Drosophila melanogaster: one gene and its partners. The protein of the gene in region 1 purifies or fractionates together with the protein of each later gene. This does not show direct contact. Each region holds a gene or a part of one and is shown in the gene's direction. Other genes may lie near its edges.

Evidence for each region.
Region 2: the proteins of Sas-4 (region 1) and gammaTub23C purify together in Drosophila melanogaster (affinity purification with western blotting, with the first as the bait; 4 studies listed by BioGRID). This does not show direct contact.
Region 3: the proteins of Sas-4 (region 1) and betaTub56D purify together in Drosophila melanogaster (affinity purification with western blotting, with the first as the bait; 2 studies listed by BioGRID). This does not show direct contact.
Region 4: the proteins of Sas-4 (region 1) and gammaTub37C purify together in Drosophila melanogaster (affinity purification with western blotting, with the first as the bait; 4 studies listed by BioGRID). This does not show direct contact.

What each region holds. Positions count from the first base shown.
Region 1 is NT_033777.3:7,149,446-7,154,774, forward strand, and holds Sas-4 (spindle assembly abnormal 4), read left to right. Parts: upstream 1-1,921; 5' UTR 1,922-1,962; coding exon 1,963-3,807; intron 3,808-3,858; coding exon 3,859-4,719; 3' UTR 4,720-4,774; downstream 4,775-5,329. Other genes in the region: CG2656 (uncharacterized protein), read left to right, coding at 1,606-1,753; gfzf (GST-containing FLYWCH zinc-finger protein), read right to left, coding at 1-187, 721-1,185; MAGE, read right to left, coding at 4,921-5,329.
Region 2 is NT_033779.5:2,970,883-2,975,395, forward strand, and holds gammaTub23C (gamma-Tubulin at 23C), read left to right. Parts: upstream 1-2,008; 5' UTR 2,009-2,176; coding exon 2,177-2,225; intron 2,226-2,283; coding exon 2,284-2,486; intron 2,487-2,546; coding exon 2,547-3,722; 3' UTR 3,723-3,976; downstream 3,977-4,513. Other genes in the region: Rrp1 (recombination repair protein 1), read right to left, coding at 1-172, 235-312, 374-1,415; CG9641 (uncharacterized protein), read right to left, coding at 4,296-4,513. UniProt on the Drosophila melanogaster protein: Tubulin is the major constituent of microtubules. The gamma chain is found at microtubule organizing centers (MTOC) such as the spindle poles or the centrosome, suggesting that it is involved in the minus-end nucleation of microtubule assembly.
Region 3 is NT_033778.4:19,446,793-19,451,322, reverse strand, and holds betaTub56D (beta-Tubulin at 56D), read left to right. Parts: upstream 1-1,723; 5' UTR 1,724-1,912; coding exon 1,913-1,996; intron 1,997-2,576; coding exon 2,577-3,863; 3' UTR 3,864-4,004; downstream 4,005-4,530. UniProt on the Drosophila melanogaster protein: Tubulin is the major constituent of microtubules, a cylinder consisting of laterally associated linear protofilaments composed of alpha- and beta-tubulin heterodimers.
Region 4 is NT_033779.5:19,183,314-19,187,505, reverse strand, and holds gammaTub37C (gamma-Tubulin at 37C), read left to right. Parts: upstream 1-1,779; 5' UTR 1,780-1,853; coding exon 1,854-1,902; intron 1,903-1,971; coding exon 1,972-2,174; intron 2,175-2,282; coding exon 2,283-2,873; intron 2,874-2,932; coding exon 2,933-3,463; 3' UTR 3,464-3,643; downstream 3,644-4,192. Other genes in the region: pigeon, read right to left, coding at 1-427, 486-787, 851-1,255, 1,314-1,377; CG46059 (uncharacterized protein), read left to right, coding at 4,171-4,192. UniProt on the Drosophila melanogaster protein: Tubulin is the major constituent of microtubules. The gamma chain is found at microtubule organizing centers (MTOC) such as the spindle poles or the centrosome, suggesting that it is involved in the minus-end nucleation of microtubule assembly.

The sequences.
Region 1 (5,329 bases):
GATGTGCCCCCGCCAAAGTCGCCTCCGTGCAGATCCTGGCCGTGCACTCAATGTCACGCTTGCGCACACAGGTCCATCGGAATATGTCGCCCTTGTAGGATTTCCCGGCCAGGTAGTACAGATGCCCGTCGATGCAGACCATCACGCGGCCGTCGCGGCGCCGTAGCATGTACACACGATCCTTGTCCTGCGGAATTAGAGTTCGTGTTAGTCATTTTTGTGCTGTAAAATTGTATATGAATTAAAAATGGTACATCATGGGAAATCTATTTAGGTGTAAAATTAAGTTAAGTGTAAGTTCAAAAGTATTTCATTCCCTTGGATATTCCCTTCAGTAGGGTGCATGTTATAAAATGATTGGGTCCCATTTTTTTCAAAAATCCCTAATATTTAGTTTCGTTTGGAGATATATAGTATTTTTTGAATCATAAATGATTAAGCTTTGGTATTTATTGTCCTTTTAACGGCCTAGCCGGTGGATTTGCAAATAGGAAAATAAATATAAAAAACAAATTGGCGGGAAACCATCTCATTACTAAGGTGAGCAAATTAACCTTTTTTTTACATTATCAAATGTTCAAAGTAGCGGTGGTTACCGAAATATGAATCAATATTAATATCAATGTTCTTTCTGAAAAAGAGACCCAGCTAGATTCTAAATAAATGGTTGAGTTGAGTATTCAGGGGCATGAGCCAGGTACAGTTGGCCTGGGGCCGTACCTCAAAGTCCAACTGGAACGAGGCCTCCACGGTGGAGGTGTCGATGCTTCCGTAGATGAACTCCGGCGGATTCATGCCGGCGTTGGCGCGCTCGTACAGGCGTGCTCTCTTCGGCTGGGTGGTGCTGTAAGCGTCGTTCATCATCATTACGGAGAGCCGCTTGCGCTGGGCCACCTTGTTGACCTCGTGATCGCTGCAGCGCGGGTGGATGTGGGCCAGAACGACGTCCACGACGACGTGGCGCGTCTTGTCCAGCGGATCGGGCAGCATGGTGCAGATGCGGGACTTGCAGGGAGTGGACTTGTCCTTGCGCCTGTTGCACAGCCATCGGTAGGTGTTATTCCGCCCGATGCGATCGAAGTGGTACAGATAGTCGTCCACGCAGAGCATATCCACGCCCTTGGCGGAGCGCACCACGGACACCTTGGTCAGGTCCATGCCGTGCTCCTCGACGGGCGTCTCCATTTTTGAATTGGTGCGCTGTTTGGCCCGAGCCCGGAATTCAGCGTTTTTCGATTTGCCCTCGAAAAGTGTTTTGTATCGTAAATTAGGCGATTTTTTTAGTGGCTGGCTGCCTGGGATTTGTTGGTTGGGATTTTTGGTGGTATTTCGTCAGCTCACTATTTGCGCGCCTTTTTGCAAACGCCGGCCATTTACCCAAACGCACTGATTTATTGCAGTTTGATGCACTAAAAGGGTTTATATTTGGTTTTTATCACTCGATTTTAATTGCACAAGCACATTTTCTTTTGCGACGCGTCGAAAAATGCTTTTGTGTGGGATACGAGGGCTGCGAGCTATGCGGTGGCGTTGCCACTTATCAAAATCGGTTATTTTTGTGACGTTCAAAAATTGTAAATATTGATGTTTATTATTCACTTACAGTTTGGTGAGATTTTTCCCGTTGGATTCCCAGGACGAGGAGAGCGTGGGCGATCTTCTGCTACAAATTGACAGTATCTTGCAGTACGGCGAGGATGCAGACGTGAACGTTAAGGACTTTGATGAACCGGAGGAAGGGGATCAGGATTGAAAAAAATCAATTTTTCATATTGCTTAAGAAAATGTACAATATTTTATTTTTAATAAAAAATTAAATCTAATCAAAATGCATGTCTAGCACCATCCCTGACCGCAGAGTTGCCACTGGTACAGTGTTGGACAACTGCTGCCGTAATTTTAAATTCCCCTACGCGTACGGCGTCTAAACAAAACTGCGATTCTAAGAACGAATATAAAAGCATGCAGGAGGCTGGCGAAAGTCCTGTTGGAATGCCTCTGAGCCAGGAGGCCATCGCACAGCGTCTCGCGGCGCTTAGTCGTTGGCAGGACGAGCAGAAGCGGCTGCTGCAGGAGCGGCAGTCCAATCACCGCGTTTTGCTCGGCTTGGAGCAACGTAATATGTACAAAATGCTGGGACTGCTACACCAGGAAACGGAAAGCCATGAAAACAGTGTGCTGGAGGAGTGGGACGAGGAGCACTCTATACAAATGCCGCGACTCGCGGCGGATCCGGACGAGCACGAGCCAGAGATTTCAATGGCTGATCCCCAGCCGGCCAAGCCTAAACGCCCTTTTCTGCGTCGCGGCGAAGGTCTAAAGCAGCGGTTCAAGATCAATCCCGACCAGCTGCGCCTGGAAAACCTGCCGCGATACAAGTTCGCTAATGCCCACCCTCAGTTCCGCACGCCTCAAATGAAAAAGGGTATTCTCAAGAAGCAAGTCAAGTCACCTCCCAATCCTGCGCCTCCACCAGCTCCCAAACCCTCAGCACAGCTCGACGATCTCAACGAGCAGCGCTTTCAGCAGATGCTTATCGGCAAGAACGCCTGCAGTTCCACTCCAGATCTAAAGTCTTCCTATGCGTCCTCCACAACCGCCTCGAGCACCTCGCCCAGAGTTCGTTTTGTAGAGCAGAAGAGCAGGGCGGGACAAACCACTCATGCCGATGATGAAGCCTCCTCGGAAGCTAGTCCCATGACAGGAGTTTGCTGGGCCAAGGTGCTGGACACACAGAGTATAAAGCCAGCGCAAATCCAAAGACGCTCTGCTCAAATCCGAGTGGAAGATGACAGCAATGTAAGCATATTCGAGCTGCTCGAGCAGAAGGCCACTGAGGGAAACATTGATATGAACTCCAGCTGCATTCGAACCTTTATGGCGCGCAAAGATCAGCGTCGCCGAGTAGCTGATGACTCCGATCACATTGTAGTCACACAGCAGGTGCGTCAGATGCGATTGCAGCCACAGGTGGACCAGATGCTGGTGCAGGAACTGCAGGAGGGGGACGAGGAGGACACCGAACCGTCCAGCGATCAGACCCTCACAATGACACCCATCCAGGTGGGGAATACTAAAGTGCGAGTGCGTTTCTCCGACTCCAATGACACGCACGAGTACTCCGATGCCACCAGCCTCAACGACGGCTCCAATATTCAGCTCTTTGAACAGTTCAAGTCCGCCCTCTTCCAGGCATTGGAACAGAAGAAGAAGTCAAGTCCCAGCAAGGAGTCAGACGAACCCATAACCAAAGATCTTCAGGAGAAAGCCAATCTCGTTCGCACTCGCCTCGAAGAGCTGGAGACAGAGATAGCCACCTTCAAGGAGCAGAATGCCCAACTCCTTCGCCTGAGGCAGCAACACGAATTGGAGAAGGCAAAGTGCACACAGGATCACATGGAGGCCATGGAACGCGTCCATGACGAAAAGATTCAAGCTGAAATTTATCTGCACGACGAGCGCATGAAGATTGAGGAGGAACGACGCAAGTTCGAGCAGCAAATGCGACTTCAAAAGAGCAATGCAAACAGCAAGGAAAAAAAGGAGATAGCCGCCTTGAAACAGGAAGTGGAGGGACTGCAACTCCAGCTCAAACAAAAGGAGCAGGCGCATGTCTCGGCACAGGCACGACTCCGCGCTCAACTGCGGGCCAGTGAGAAGGAGCAGCGAAACTACCGTGACGAGATCGAGCTGCTGCGCAAGGAGAACAAGCGCCTAGAGCAAGAGCTGGTCAAGATTGGCCGCGAAAACAACAGCAAGATGCTGCAGGAGATCAATCGAAACATAGCCCGGCTTGCCCCCAAAGTGGTAAGTGCATGCTTGTGTGTATATCGTAATGTAACTAATGTCTTCATTTAGTTACCTTCCGCGACAATGTCCGATATCCTCGATGAGAACGGTCGGCGCACCCAATCTCTGGACGGCACTGCTGGTAAGCCTGCCAAGCAGCGAGAGGCGCAAAACCGTCGTCAGAGTAGCGGCAGTGCCCAAGTGAGAAGTCGGAGTCGCTCACTGAGCAGGAATAAGAAAACACCATACGCTCTGGATGAGAGCTACGCCTCTAGTAGTTCTGTGGAATCGGAGGAAGTTCAGCCGCCCGTGACCGCTCCGAAAGCTGCTACCCCCCCACCGGCTGCCAACTCCAGCAGTGACTTTAAGCGGGAGATTACGAATGCGGATGGGAGCAAGGACATTTGGTACCCAAACGGCAATCTAAAAAAGATAAGCGCCGATGGCATGAACTTGCGCATGCTCTATTTCAACAAGGATATCAAGGAAACTAACATCAGGGAAGGCACAGTGAAGTATTACTACGCTGAGACCAACACTTGGCACACCTCCTACCTAGATGGCTTGGAAATACTCGAGTTTCCCAACGGGCAGACGGAACATCGCCGCAAGGATGGCACTGTTGAGATTCACTTTCCCAACAACAGCATTAAGATTGTGGATCCCAGCGATACGGAGAAACTGGAGGAGTGGCGTTATGCGGATGGAACCCATCTAGTGCAGCTCCGGAATGGTGACAAGATTCTCAATCTGCCCAATGGCCAAAAGGAGATTCACACCAAACTAAACAAGCGAAGGGAGTATCCGGACGGCACTGTGAAGCTAGTGTATCCGGATGGCAGCCAAGAGACGCGCTACTCCAACGGCCGCGTTCGTTTGAAGGACAAGGATGGCAAGCTCATAATGGACACAGACTATGCCAAGTATTAGAGTCGGGTCTCTGCTTCCGTTGTTAAGTAAATTAACTTAAGTTTTAGATAAATAGAAAAGACGTGCTATTTTTAAAAGATCATCGTAATATTCTTTTCTTGCTGATAAATGGGAAATTGGCTCTATTTTAGATTATTATATATATTGTTTGGTTTTCAATTTGTTAGATCAAATGTAGTAAATTATTCATAGAATGGTATTCTACTCCGCGTTTACTCCTTCTTGGGCCATGGAGAGGTGATGGCCGAAGACCTTGGGATGCTGATTGAGCAGCTTGGAGGCGAATTGCACCATTTGCTCGAATGTGAACTCCGCCTTGGCACGTGGTCCCCAAAGGAAGAAAGTCTTGGAATCATCGTAAGCACTTAGCTGTGAGCGTTCCCGCTTCAGATATTGTTGCTTCACAAACGTCTCCTCGATCTGTTTGCGCAGATTGGGGCCGAAGTAGCCATGTTCTTCGTCTGGATAGATGTTGAGCATCTCCAGCATAACGTACAGTTTCGAGTCCTCGATGCGGTTGCCGCGCAGGAAGATGTACATGAGAATAATATACAGCAGCGTGAACTGCGGCCGTTGAGCCGGCGTCAGCTCGTGAATGGAGGCCACCGGC
Region 2 (4,513 bases), on another chromosome or scaffold:
GCCTTCTTGGCTTTTTTGGTGGCTGGAAAACAAAAGTTGAGCATGGTTTGCAAGCTTTTTAATACGGCAGCTCCACCGCAGCCGGATTGCTCCGCTAACATACTTTTCGATCCACTCTCCTCATCGACATCGGGTTCTTCAGCCTTCGCAGCCGCCTTTTTTCGGCCTCGAGCTGCAAATAGAATATGATTAGCGTGGCATTGATATTAAAGTTATTGTTGACAATGTGCCCACCTGGTTTACTTTCCTCTGCTGCCTCCTCAATATCTTCGACATCCTCTGCCTTGACTGGAGCCTTTTTCCGTCCTTTAGCTGCGGATTAAAGATAGTTAATCATGGTTTCATCATTTACATTGATTTGACAGTTTCCCACCTGGCTTGGTTTCAGTAGAGGGCTTGGCTTCTTCTTCAACTACACCGTTTTCCTTATCGGCGGATTTCTTCTGCTTCTTCCCGGGTGCTGGCTCCTTGCCTTCCTTCTTAGCGCGCTGTTTAGTGGGCTTTGCCTTGGTCTTTGGCTCAAGTTCTACCGCAGTCTCACCATTGGTTGTTTTCTTGGCGCGTTTCTTGGGTGCAGCTGCAGTTTTTGGAGGCGATTCCACTTCTTCTTGTACTGATTGAAAATCTCCTACAGTCTCGGGCGATGGCTCAACCATCTTTCCCTTCTTTGCTCGCTTGCTAGCAGCCTTTGGCGGCACCTCATCCACTTCCGGCTCATCGAGAGCAGCTGCGATCTCAGAATCTGCCAAACGCTTGGTTCCGCGTGCCCGCTTGGCAGCTGTCTCAGCTTTCTGCACCTTCTCTTTGCTTATTGTCCCTGGTTCAGCTTGCTCCTTTAACGTTGGTACTGCTTCCTTTCTTGCCCGTTGTTTCGGCGGCTCTGCTGCTTCCTCGGCCCCTCCATTTGCTTCTGCCGGCAGCTCCTTTCGCTTCCGTCCTTTGGCCTGGGCATTCGTTGGTTTCTCAGCCTTAGCGCGTCCCTTAGGCGGTGAAGACGTCACTTCGTCAGGAGCAGGAGTGGGCTCTTTTTTGGCACGTGGCTTAGTTGCCTTTCCAGCTGGTAGATCGACTTTGGGTTCTGGTTCTGCTTCTGCAGTTGCCTTCTTGGCGCGTCCCTTCGGCTTGGCCACCACCTCCATCTGGCCGTTTTCGTCTGTATCCTTCGGCTGCTTCTTCTTGCCACGCGCGGCTGCAGTGGGCGCCTTTTGTGGCTCGACTTCCTCGGAGTTTTCCGCAGATACAGCCGTCTTGGTGGCTTTCCTCGCGCGCGGCTTTCCTTTTGCCGGCACCTTGAGTTCCTCAGCGGCAGAGTCTGCGTTTTCGTCGACTCCATTCCCATTGGCATTTGGAGTGGGGTCAGTGGGTTCAGATGCCAACGCCTCTGCTTGTTTTTTCACGGCCTTGACACGCGGCATTATGGAGTTCTACTGCTCGGACTGATAGGTTCTCAAAAATGACTTGTATTTACTTCCACAGATTTCCAGCTTTTTCTTTTGCTTGTTTTGCAGAGCCACTGTCGCTTGGTTCAGCACCCGATATCAACAAAAAGAAAACTGCGCGGGCAACGCGATTTTTGCAAGCCGGTCGGCTTGACTTTGGTCTGCTTACAACACTATTTGTGTGCCTTCCTTGGAAAAACACGACTGTGGAGCAAATATTGCACATTGTGACGTCACTAGTAGTACAAATAGTTCGACGTCATTAGTAGTACAAAATGGGTGGAGCTCAATAACCTAATTGAAAAACTTTCTTATAGAAAATTATATTCAAGTTAAGCTTAGTATTGAACTATTAGATTGATATTCATGACATGTTTCGATCTTTCTAACTCATAGTCTTAGATTTCCAACACTTTTTTGCCTTTCCAAAATACAAAGTAGAAAAATGTAATGTTTATTTTTATTTATTTAATTCACAATAAAGGTCTTAAGTAATCATATATATTTTATAACAGAGGGCACACTGCGCCACCTTTCAAATGAGGACGCCATTAAACGCTGCGGTGTTATCAACACTGGACTTTCTTAAAATTACAAAGTACGTCCCCGCTGTGGGATTTTTTAAAAATTTTGTTATAATTCGACGATCTTTTAGTTGTGTTTTATTTTATTTCGACTAATTCGACCTTAAACGCGAAACTTCACTTGACGATTCTGGCCGGAAACAACACACCACAATGCCAAGTGAAATAATTACTTTGCAGCTTGGGCAGTGCGGCAATCAAAGTAGGTTTCTGAAATCAGGACGAGTACCATCTGCATTGCTAAAATCGTTTAAACGCAGTTGGCTTTGAGTTCTGGAAAAGATTGTGCCTGGAGCATGGCATCTCCCCTAGCGGCGTGCTGGAGGACTTTGCCAATGATGGCTTGGACCGCAAGGATGTGTTCTTCTACCAGGCGGACGACGACCACTACATACCCCGCGCGGTGCTCTTGGACTTGGAACCGAGGGTGATCAATACCATAATGGGCTCGGTCTACTCCAAGGTGAGTCCTCTCTAAATAACTTTTAATTTTTTGCGCCAAACCTACTATTAACTCCCGTAGCTCTACAATCCGGAAAATGTGTACCTATCCAAGCACGGAGGCGGTGCGGGCAACAACTGGGCCTCAGGCTATAGCCAGGGCGAAAAGCTGCAAGAAGAGGTATTCGACATCATTGACCGTGAGGCAGATGGAAGCGATTCGTTGGAGGGCTTTATACTTTGCCATTCGATTGCTGGCGGAACGGGATCGGGAATGGGCTCCTTTATCATGGAGCGCCTGGCGGACCGCTATCCCAAGAAACTTATCCAAACATTCAGTGTGTTTCCCAATCAGGACGAGATCAGTGATGTAGTGGTGCAGCCATACAACTCCATGCTCACCCTGAAACGTTTGACTACGGCTGCGGACAGTGTGGTTGTCCTGGACAACACTGCTCTTAATCGTATTGCCTGCGATCGCTTGCACATTCAGAATCCCAGCTTTTCGCAGATCAACAACCTGGTCTCCACCATAATGAGCGTCAGCACCACTACGCTGAGGTATCCATCCTACATGAACAACAATCTCATTGGGCTGACGGCTCCTTTAATCCCGACGCCCCAGCTGCATTTTCTCATGACAGGCTACACGCCGCTGACTAGCGATTCGGATATCCATACCCAGCAGCTGGTTAATGTGCGAAAGACTACTGTTCTAGATGTAATGCGGCGTCTGTTGCAGCCCAAGAACATGATGGTGTCCACTGGTCCCGACAAGTCAAATCATCACTGCTACATCTCCATTCTAAACATTATCCAGGGCGAGGTGGATCCCACTCAAGTGCACAAGTCACTGCAGCGCATCCGCGACCGCAAGATGGCCCAGTTCATTCCCTGGGGCCCCACCTCTATCCAGGTAGCCCTTTCCCGCTCATCGCCCTACGTGCAGAGCAACCATCGAGTGTCCGGACTGATGCTGGCCAACCACACCAGCATTTGCTCGCTTTTCGAGCGAGCTCTCAACCAGTATGACAAGCTTCGCAAGCGCGGCGCCTTTCTTGACCAGTTTCGACGCGAGGACATCTTCAAGGACGACCTCAATGAGCTGGACGAATCTCGCGAAACTGTTGACTGCCTGGTGCAAGAGTATGAGGCAGCCACGCGTGAGGACTACATGCAGTTTTCAGTGAAGCGGGGAAATGGGCCAGTTGACTCCAAGTCGGAGGATAGTCGATCTGTGACCAGCGCCGGTTCCTAGTTCGCTTGTGCCAGAAGAAATGCGTGCCATGCATCTTAACCAATGTATTTTAAAATGTAATATTCTCCAATGACGATGGGATTCGAAATCCTTAAGTAGTAGTGATAAGACGATTGTTGGTATGACTCGCATGTATGTAAACGCTGTTTCGTCTTTTACGATATTTAACGTTCGTATTTCCATTGTTGCAAAATTACACATGAGATTTCCCGATCATGTTTAATATGTGACACATTAAATAAAAAACAGTTTTTAAATGTGGTAGTGAGTGTTTATTGAGAAGTATATTACATATTTCTTTGGTGTATTTTATAATATGAAATCCTTATGGTTAATGTCGACTTGAGGCAGTATGAACTGATATTGCAGTGAGAATTCACTTGTGAAGCTGCACGATACTGCTGTCCTTGTTCCGTTGTCATGTCATTTCGTATGTCAAATATGTTTAGGGTGTGTTATTCAGTTTAAAATGTTCCTATTGTATTGAAGAAGAAAAGAGTTAGATATATAAAGCACATTTTATAAATCAAGGAAGTTTTTCGTTACCATGAATCCCGTTACCCATCGGCTTGCTTACAAGGAGCATGTGTCTTCATTAACCACCTCAGCGTTGCAATTCTCTTCCTCCTGATGAGGCTCTTCGCACTCCTCGCCCTCCGCTTCAGGAGTGACCTCTACATCATTGCTCTTCTCGCCCGGCTCCTCTTCAATGAACTCCACATCATCGTGTTGCTCTTCAGCTGCCTCTTCCACCTCATCATGATCTTCAGTCATCTCATTCTCATTTTCAT
Region 3 (4,530 bases), on another chromosome or scaffold:
GGCCGGCATTTTCACACTCACACATTTGCATTTATGTATACCAAGTTGTGTGCGTGTGTGTGTCGAGTGGTCTTTTTGAGTCCCGGCATCTGTGTTTGTATATACCGCATATTTGTCCGATTTCGCAAAGATGCTTGAAAATTGTTGTTCTACTCTGGCATTTGGGGTCCAAAATTTAGAACGAAAGTTTGTTACGCCCGAATTTCCGATCGATATAATGCTTTAGGGCCATTGACATTCGCATATGTACTTCGTGCCCATATGTATGTACATATGTAAGTAATTATAGTTGGGTGTGTCTGCAATTACACCGACGCTGGTGGCTGTGTGTATGCCTGTGTGCGTGTTGCATGCATGAGTCATTTTCTCTTGGGCGAAAGACTTTCATAGTTTTTCACCGGTTGTGAAAGCCATTTCACTGCCCAGATGGTGAAGGGTACTTTTCTATCGTCAAAACACGATAGCTTTTCTACACGCACATAAGAGCTTGCTGCTCATTTGTATGTGTGAGCGTCGGCCGGTTTTTTCATTTAATTTTTTTTTTTTTGCCGCTATGCGTCTTCTAAAGAGAAAACATGACGTCATTTTAACCTAAAATGGCTGAACCGGTCGTCGTTGAACGGTTCGCAGAACGTATAAGAGTTGATCTTATACGTAGATGGGATATAAGTATGTAGATATATGTGTTCGTAGGCTGCATTAGCTGTTCTATTGATTTTCATGCATTCCACACTCTGCTCCCTACTTAAAATTGCGCTACTTCGGCGGCTTCTCTATCTTATCATGGAATGAAACAATTTTCTATTTTTTATTCATGACTATAGTATAGACAGATTTCGGTTCTCTTTCGGCCATTATGTGCCAAAATGAAACTTTACTTTTAGCAGTAGGAATTGGGAGTCTGCAAGGTGAGATGATGACCTTATATAGAGGAATTTGCCATCTGTTTGTCTCTATCCCAGTTTCCTCTCGCACACAAAAAGCAACGAAACCGAGAAGGGCGGTGCTGCACATGCGTGTGGGATAACGGGGCACAGGACACGAAGGTGATGTTGATGATGACGAATCTTTCTAGTCCTTGCCCGAAAAATCAATACCCACATGCTGGGCATGGGCCCATGAGCCGAAAACAACCCTCGGAAACGCCTTAAAACCCGAGCAGCTGCAACATCAGAATTGTTGTGCCCAAGTATGGCTCTCAATATCTCTCTCTCTCGCTTTCGACCCGACCGGCTTACAAATGTGTATTTCTATATTTATATATACACTTTATATACATAGAATCCGGTATGACGGTGTCATTTCGCTAAACGAGTGTCAACCACGCATTTCCTCCAATACCAGTGTAGCGACTTATTTCGGTTAATTGTTTTTATTTGTTTACGCGACATAAACAACGACCATCGCAAAAAGTTCAGGTGACGTAATGCCCTGAAAAACAGACGATTTATGCGCCAGATGGTCGGTAGTTGGAGCACTGAGCTGCAGTTTTAACCTCTCAGCAAACAGACAACGCCAACGCCTCTCTCCAACTGGTACCCACTGCTCCTCCCACTCCTCCTCCGTTTCCCTCTTGCAGAGACGAGAGTGGGTCGCGAGACCCGAACAACCGGTGATGTAAGCCGCATCGGAAGCAGGGGGGCTTTTTGGGGTGGCAGAGCCCGGCTCTGAGGTCGCCGGCATTGCGTGGGGGCAGCACGTAGACATATAGACAGACAGACAGATAGTAGTTATACAGCTCAGTTCCAGCCCACGCCCGAAGATTCGAGTAAGATCGGTCGGCGGAACGCAATGACAGCTGCGCCTCGAGATCCGAAACGAAAACCCACGCCAGATGACGTTATCGTTGGTGTGGCGATGGTGCTGCTGGTCGTGGTGGTGGAAACGCACCAAAAATGGCAGCGAATAAGTTATGTTAATCGGAGCTCGGCCCATACACAGAGTTTATGATGGCGTACATGGGTGGCCTAAACCACGTAGCCGAGCCCAGACATGTGTATGTACATCGGCTGCTTCTTGTGCCCATTTATTCCAATCAATAAAGAGTTATATATAGACTGACTTTCCATAACCCATCACACATTTTGTTCGAGAAGGTTTCTGTATCGAAGTTATCTGTATAAGTTAAGAGAAAAACAAGAAAATAAGATTGCCTTTCACATGCATCAACTTTCACTGGGTATGGAAGAAAAATTTTAAGCAAATTACTTGCAGAATTGGAAATGAGTTTCAGTGATTAGTAAAAGTTTTCTTCAACTGCAGTACTCTTGTGCAAATAAAAGTTACCGTTGCTTAAGCATAAACTTCTTTTGTGATTTATGTGAAGCAGTCAAATAAATACTAGCTGTATATATGTATGCAGCAGATGGTCTAGGCTTTGAGTAATTTTACTACCATTGATTTTCTGTGATGACTCATTGGCCAAGTCATTCATACATTTTCTTAAGACTGAGTTAGAAAACACCCCCTAGTAATCGATTTTCCTGCTGACTCATGTTCACAAGAAATGCTGTACAGCACCTGCAAGTCCTAATCGCACTAATCCCAAATTCTTTACTTCCATTTCTCATTTGCAGTTCTGGGAGATCATCTCCGATGAGCATGGCATCGATGCCACCGGCGCCTACCACGGTGACAGCGACCTGCAGCTGGAGCGCATCAATGTGTACTACAATGAGGCGTCCGGTGGCAAGTACGTGCCCCGCGCTGTCCTTGTCGATCTGGAGCCCGGCACCATGGACTCTGTGCGATCGGGACCTTTCGGCCAGATCTTCAGGCCCGACAACTTTGTGTTCGGCCAGTCGGGTGCCGGCAACAACTGGGCCAAGGGTCATTACACAGAGGGTGCTGAGCTGGTGGACTCAGTGCTCGATGTTGTCCGCAAGGAGGCCGAATCCTGCGACTGCCTGCAAGGCTTCCAACTCACACACTCCCTTGGCGGCGGCACTGGCTCCGGTATGGGAACCCTGCTGATTTCCAAGATCCGCGAGGAGTACCCCGACAGGATCATGAACACATACTCGGTTGTGCCGTCGCCCAAGGTGTCGGACACCGTTGTGGAGCCCTACAACGCCACCCTGTCGGTGCACCAGCTGGTCGAGAACACGGACGAGACCTACTGCATCGACAACGAGGCTCTCTACGATATCTGCTTCCGCACCCTCAAGCTGACGACACCCACATACGGTGACCTGAACCATCTTGTCTCCCTGACCATGTCCGGCGTAACCACCTGCCTCCGATTCCCCGGCCAACTGAACGCTGATCTCCGCAAGCTGGCCGTCAACATGGTGCCCTTCCCACGTCTTCACTTCTTCATGCCCGGCTTCGCTCCCCTGACCTCCCGAGGATCCCAGCAGTACCGCGCCCTCACCGTGCCCGAGCTGACCCAGCAGATGTTCGATGCCAAGAACATGATGGCCGCCTGCGACCCACGCCACGGACGCTACCTTACCGTCGCCGCCATCTTCCGTGGACGCATGTCCATGAAGGAGGTCGACGAGCAGATGCTGAACATCCAGAACAAGAACAGCTCCTACTTCGTCGAATGGATCCCCAACAACGTGAAGACCGCCGTGTGCGACATCCCGCCCCGTGGTCTGAAGATGTCCGCCACCTTCATCGGCAACTCCACTGCCATCCAGGAGCTGTTCAAGCGCATCTCCGAGCAGTTCACCGCTATGTTCAGGCGCAAGGCTTTCTTGCATTGGTACACCGGCGAGGGCATGGACGAGATGGAGTTCACCGAGGCCGAGAGCAACATGAACGATCTGGTGTCCGAGTACCAGCAGTACCAGGAGGCCACCGCCGACGAGGACGCCGAGTTCGAGGAGGAGCAGGAGGCTGAGGTCGACGAGAACTAAATTCGAATCGGAAATCAATCGAATTCTCGATCAATGTTTTGCGAAAAAAAATGAAACGAGAACAAATGAATTCAGTTGTAAAAGATTTGTTCTCTTAACAACGTAATCAATAAAGTCGGATCCAATTTTGTTCACAAGTCTAAACAATTATGGTTTTTGTTGGGGTTTCTTATAATTAATAAGAGAGATATCAATCATTTTACGAGGATTATGAGACTGCGTTTTGTAGTCCAAGAAAGCTGATTAATGTTTAGAGTGTTGGTATAAATGTTAATAGGCTCATTAATGTAGGTTTTGACAAAAGCGAGGTATTTGTACATTTTCTCATTGTATTATTTGGATTCACAAATTTATGTTTATTTAATCGGGTTTCTCCCAGCTAAAAACAATAGAAATCTTTTCACCGGCTGTGTTTGTTTTGGACATGGTTATGTTGTGATGATTGATAATTTCATTCACATTAGTTTATTTATAGACCTTTTTTATTTATTGACAATGATTTGCCCTACCTACCTCAACTTTCGAGCAAATGCTGCATAAACAAAAGTAATTCGCCCTTGAAGAGGACATGACATGATATTTTCAGCGTAGGAAGTGGGCCTACGTACCATTGTGGTTCAGACGGCCTTGTATGCAATAAATCTAATTAATATATATATATATATAT
Region 4 (4,192 bases), on another chromosome or scaffold:
GTGTGATATCGGGACTTCGATTGTGGGCTGCACACACGATATGGCAGTTCGGTTCGTGCTGCAGTCCCACGTCCAAGAGGTGGACAAAAAAGGCGGACGACACCAGCAAGTGATGCTGGCCGTGTAGCGCAAATGTTGGCCTCAGCAGACGGGCCTTTTGCCACGGCACACCGGGCATGACGCAGTGCACCACATAGCCGTGGTGAAGCAAAGTCACCGAGTAGGCAAAGTGCACATCCCTTTGCTCCGACTGCATCGGCTGGTACAGGTAGTAGTGACAGACGAAAAACATGCCCGAGGTGTCCGCCAGTATGATGAGATTTAGCGAACTATCGTGCACGCGCAAGGGAACCGCATCGTCATCGTAGCTTGGCGATTCCTCTTTGGAGCCATTGGGCAGCTTTGGCAAATTGAGGGGTATATTAAGCTGCAATAGAAAGATGTAACTACACCTATACGTAATACTTTAATCTTTAAGTACCTACCACTGTTTCCGTTGGCTGTTTTTCGTTAAACTGAAAGGCGGAGAGCGTGGGGCTTAAAGTAGGAGTTGTCTGCTCGCCAGCCTCCTCCCTCTCGTCCAGCAGACTGAGGCTCTTGGCCTTCGGCTTCAAGTGAATGTAATAAAGAGCCTGGCACTCGGGATCCCACTGGGCCCAGCTAAAGTTCCTGGCCAGCGTTTCGTAGGTCAGTATGCTGGTGTCTAGCCTCCAGGCGCTGCCCTCGCCTCCGCCAGTCGAGCATGTGGTGGAGCTCTGCTTGACCACGCAGCTGTACTGCTTGATGGCTAGAAAAAACAGGTACGAGCATGGGAGTTAGAGGTGGATAATGACATATACATGACACCTACATTCCTCGTGGGTGAGCACCAGTAGCTTGTCCTGCCAGCAGGTGCGCGTGGCACTCTCGACGCGCCACAGGAACTGCGTCATCATCTGGCGGTTGGAGGGCTCCGAGTTGAGGGGCGTGGCCGTGCCACCTTCGGAGCTCCTTACCTCCACGACAAAGGCCTGATAGAGCTTGCCCTCAGTTTTCTCCACGAAGGACAGCAATGTGACACTGCTGTTAATCGTTGCCTGGACGATCTCACGGCAATTGTCGAGGGTCCAAAGGAGTCGCAGCTGCTTCTTGGTGGCGTGAAAGTGGCCAATGCACGTCTCCTTGCGCTGATCCTCGTCCGCGTACTCGAATATCCAGGACGTGAGCAGAGATCCATCCTGTTCCTGGCCCAAAATGCGCCACTCGTTTGCCTTCTCTGCGATTTTTACGGACATCCATGAGGCTCGGAGTAAATTGGCGAAATACGAACTCACCTTTATAGCCCTGGCTGGCCAGGAGACCGCAGAAGTTGGCTGCCAAGTTCTCCTGCCGCAGCATTTTTATTTTTTATTCAATATTTGTACATAAACATTTGCAACGAATTTTTTCAATCAGCCTGCCAGTGTGCACGTTGCGCGCTTCTCAGAAAATAACGACTCCCGAGAACCGTTACTCGCAGCCACAGGGTGTGCTGTACAATTGAAAAAGCTAGTCCTTTAAATTTAAAAAAATAACAGTTAATGTTTTATGTAAATGAAAACATAAAAAATATATAACTATGGCTAATTTATTTGAACCTAAATATTTAAAAAAAAAATGGATCAAATCTTAATTCTAAGTATTTTCTATAAGTCCAATAACATTAAATAAATCATAAAGATTAGTAAAGAAAAATAGGTAATAACTTACTGTTGTATTGTACTTCTTGTATATCGATATTAATGACTTCCACTTCCATCTCCAGTTGGCCTTCGATGCACAGTTATTATTTACTGAGAAAGAAGCGAAATTAACTAAACTGCAATTCGAGCAAAATGCCCAGCGAGATTATAACCCTTCAATTGGGCCAATGTGGCAATCAAAGTAAGTTCTTCACGTCGAAATCGAAGTTAAGAGAAGCTCCGGCTTGATCGAGATCACTCCATTCCGCAGTTGGTTTCGAGTTCTGGAAGAGATTGTGCCTGGAGCACGGCATCTCCCCGGATGGCGTCCTGGAAGACTTCGCCACCGATGGACAGGATCGCAAGGATGTGTTCTTTTACCAGGCGGACGACAACCATTACATACCGCGGGCCGTTCTCATAGACTTAGAGCCCAGAGTCATTAACAACATCATGACCTCTCCGTACTCCAAGGTCAGTGCGGAAACTGGTCTTATTGGATCGGATTCTGATCTAATCTACTTTATTTTATGTATTTCATTTAAAAAACTATGTAGATGGATATGTGTTTCCCCTTTGCAGTTGTACAACCAGGAGAATGTGTTCCTCTCCAAGCACGGCGGTGGAGCAGGAAACAACTGGGCGTCCGGCTTTAGCCAGGGTGAGAAGGTGCAGGAGGAGGTGTTCGACATTCTGGACCGCGAGGCCGATGGCAGCGATTCGCTGGAGGGATTCGTGCTCTGCCACTCGATAGCCGGCGGAACTGGGTCCGGAATGGGCTCATATGTCCTGGAACGGCTGTCCGAACGCTTTCCCAAGAAGCTCATACAGACGTACAGCGTTTTTCCCAATCAGGACGAGATCAGCGACGTGGTTGTGCAGCCATATAACTCGATCCTTACCCTGAAGCGTTTGACCAAGTGCGCGGACAGTGTGGTGGTGCTGGATAATACCGCACTGAACCGCATCGCCACCGAAAGATTGCACATCCAAACGCCCACTTTTACGCAGATCAACAATCTGGTGTCCACCATCATGAGTCTGAGCACCACCACCCTGCGATATCCCTCGTACATGAACAACAACCTCATCGGTCTGACCGCCTCGCTCATTCCCACGCCCCAGCTGCACTTCCTGATGACGGGATATACTCCGCTAATGTCCGACTGCGAGGTATGATGATATGACATATGTAAATGGGAATGCAAATAAAAAGAGGCAACCACTTTCAGACCAAGACAAGCGTTCGAAAGACCACCGTTTTGGATGTAATGCGTCGCCTTCTGCAGCCGAAGAACATGATGGTTTCCGCGCTGACGGACAAGCAGAGCCGCCAGTGCTTCGTCTCCATACTGAACATCATCCAGGGCGAGGTGGATCCATCCCAGGTGCACAAGTCGCTGCAGCGCATCCGCGAGCGAAAGCTGGCCAACTTCATACCATGGGGTCCGGCCAGCATCCAAGTGGCTCTGCCGCGCAGCTCGCCCTATGTGCAGTCGGCCCACAAGGTATCCGGATTGATGATGGCCAATCACACGGGTATCAGTTCGCTCTTCAAGAGGGCCTTGGCCCAGTACGATAAGCTGAGGAAGCGCAACGCCTTCCTCGACAACTTTCGCCGCGAATCCATGTTCCAGGACGACCTGACCGAACTGGACATCGCACGGGACACGGTTGACTGCTTGGTGCAGGAATATGAGGCAGCCACCCAGATCGATTATCCCCAGTGGAGTCCTGCTGTCGAAGCTTCGAAAGCCGGTTAATCGATAATTATTTATAATTCAACCGTCAATACTTTTTATTTTTTTTATCAACAATAATATATGTATTTAAAATACTTTATAATCAATTTAGGAATTATAAAAGTTTCCAGGAATGATTCAACTTACATAAATCAAGCAAAAATAACTCTGAACGAGGTAGGAAGTAGTAACGATCACACCTCAACACACAAAAGTTCTGATATCAACTTTTGTGTGAAAAAAAGGGTTTTTTATTCAACTAAGGATATACAATAACTAAAATTTACTTATTCGTTAGTTAGTTTAAAGTTGGTCAACACAATCACTAATTCCACATCCACATGTATCTTGATATGTGTACATTTTTATAGTCATATTGGCTTTGATTTTTCATGTCACTTCACATTTCCCCGTAACAGACTGAGCGAAATGAATTTTCCATTCGTATTCCAAAATTCGATGTGTTAACACCTTTGAAAATAGTTTGTGTCTTACGTTTTCCGGTACCTATTTTGTTGTTTCTAAGATCCTATTTCTGTAAATAGGCCAAATGTAAGTGTTTAGTTCACATTGCATAGAGAACAATCTAATTTGGTTTAAAGTCCACTTAGCTGCCCTTTTAGAAGGAAATTAGGATACCCTGAACGCTTTTCCCCAAGACAAAATAAAATCGTAAGTGAAAACAATTTATATGATTAATTCTTAGCTTTCCTTTCACTTGGAAGATCATGTGCTGCGGACCCTGTGGAC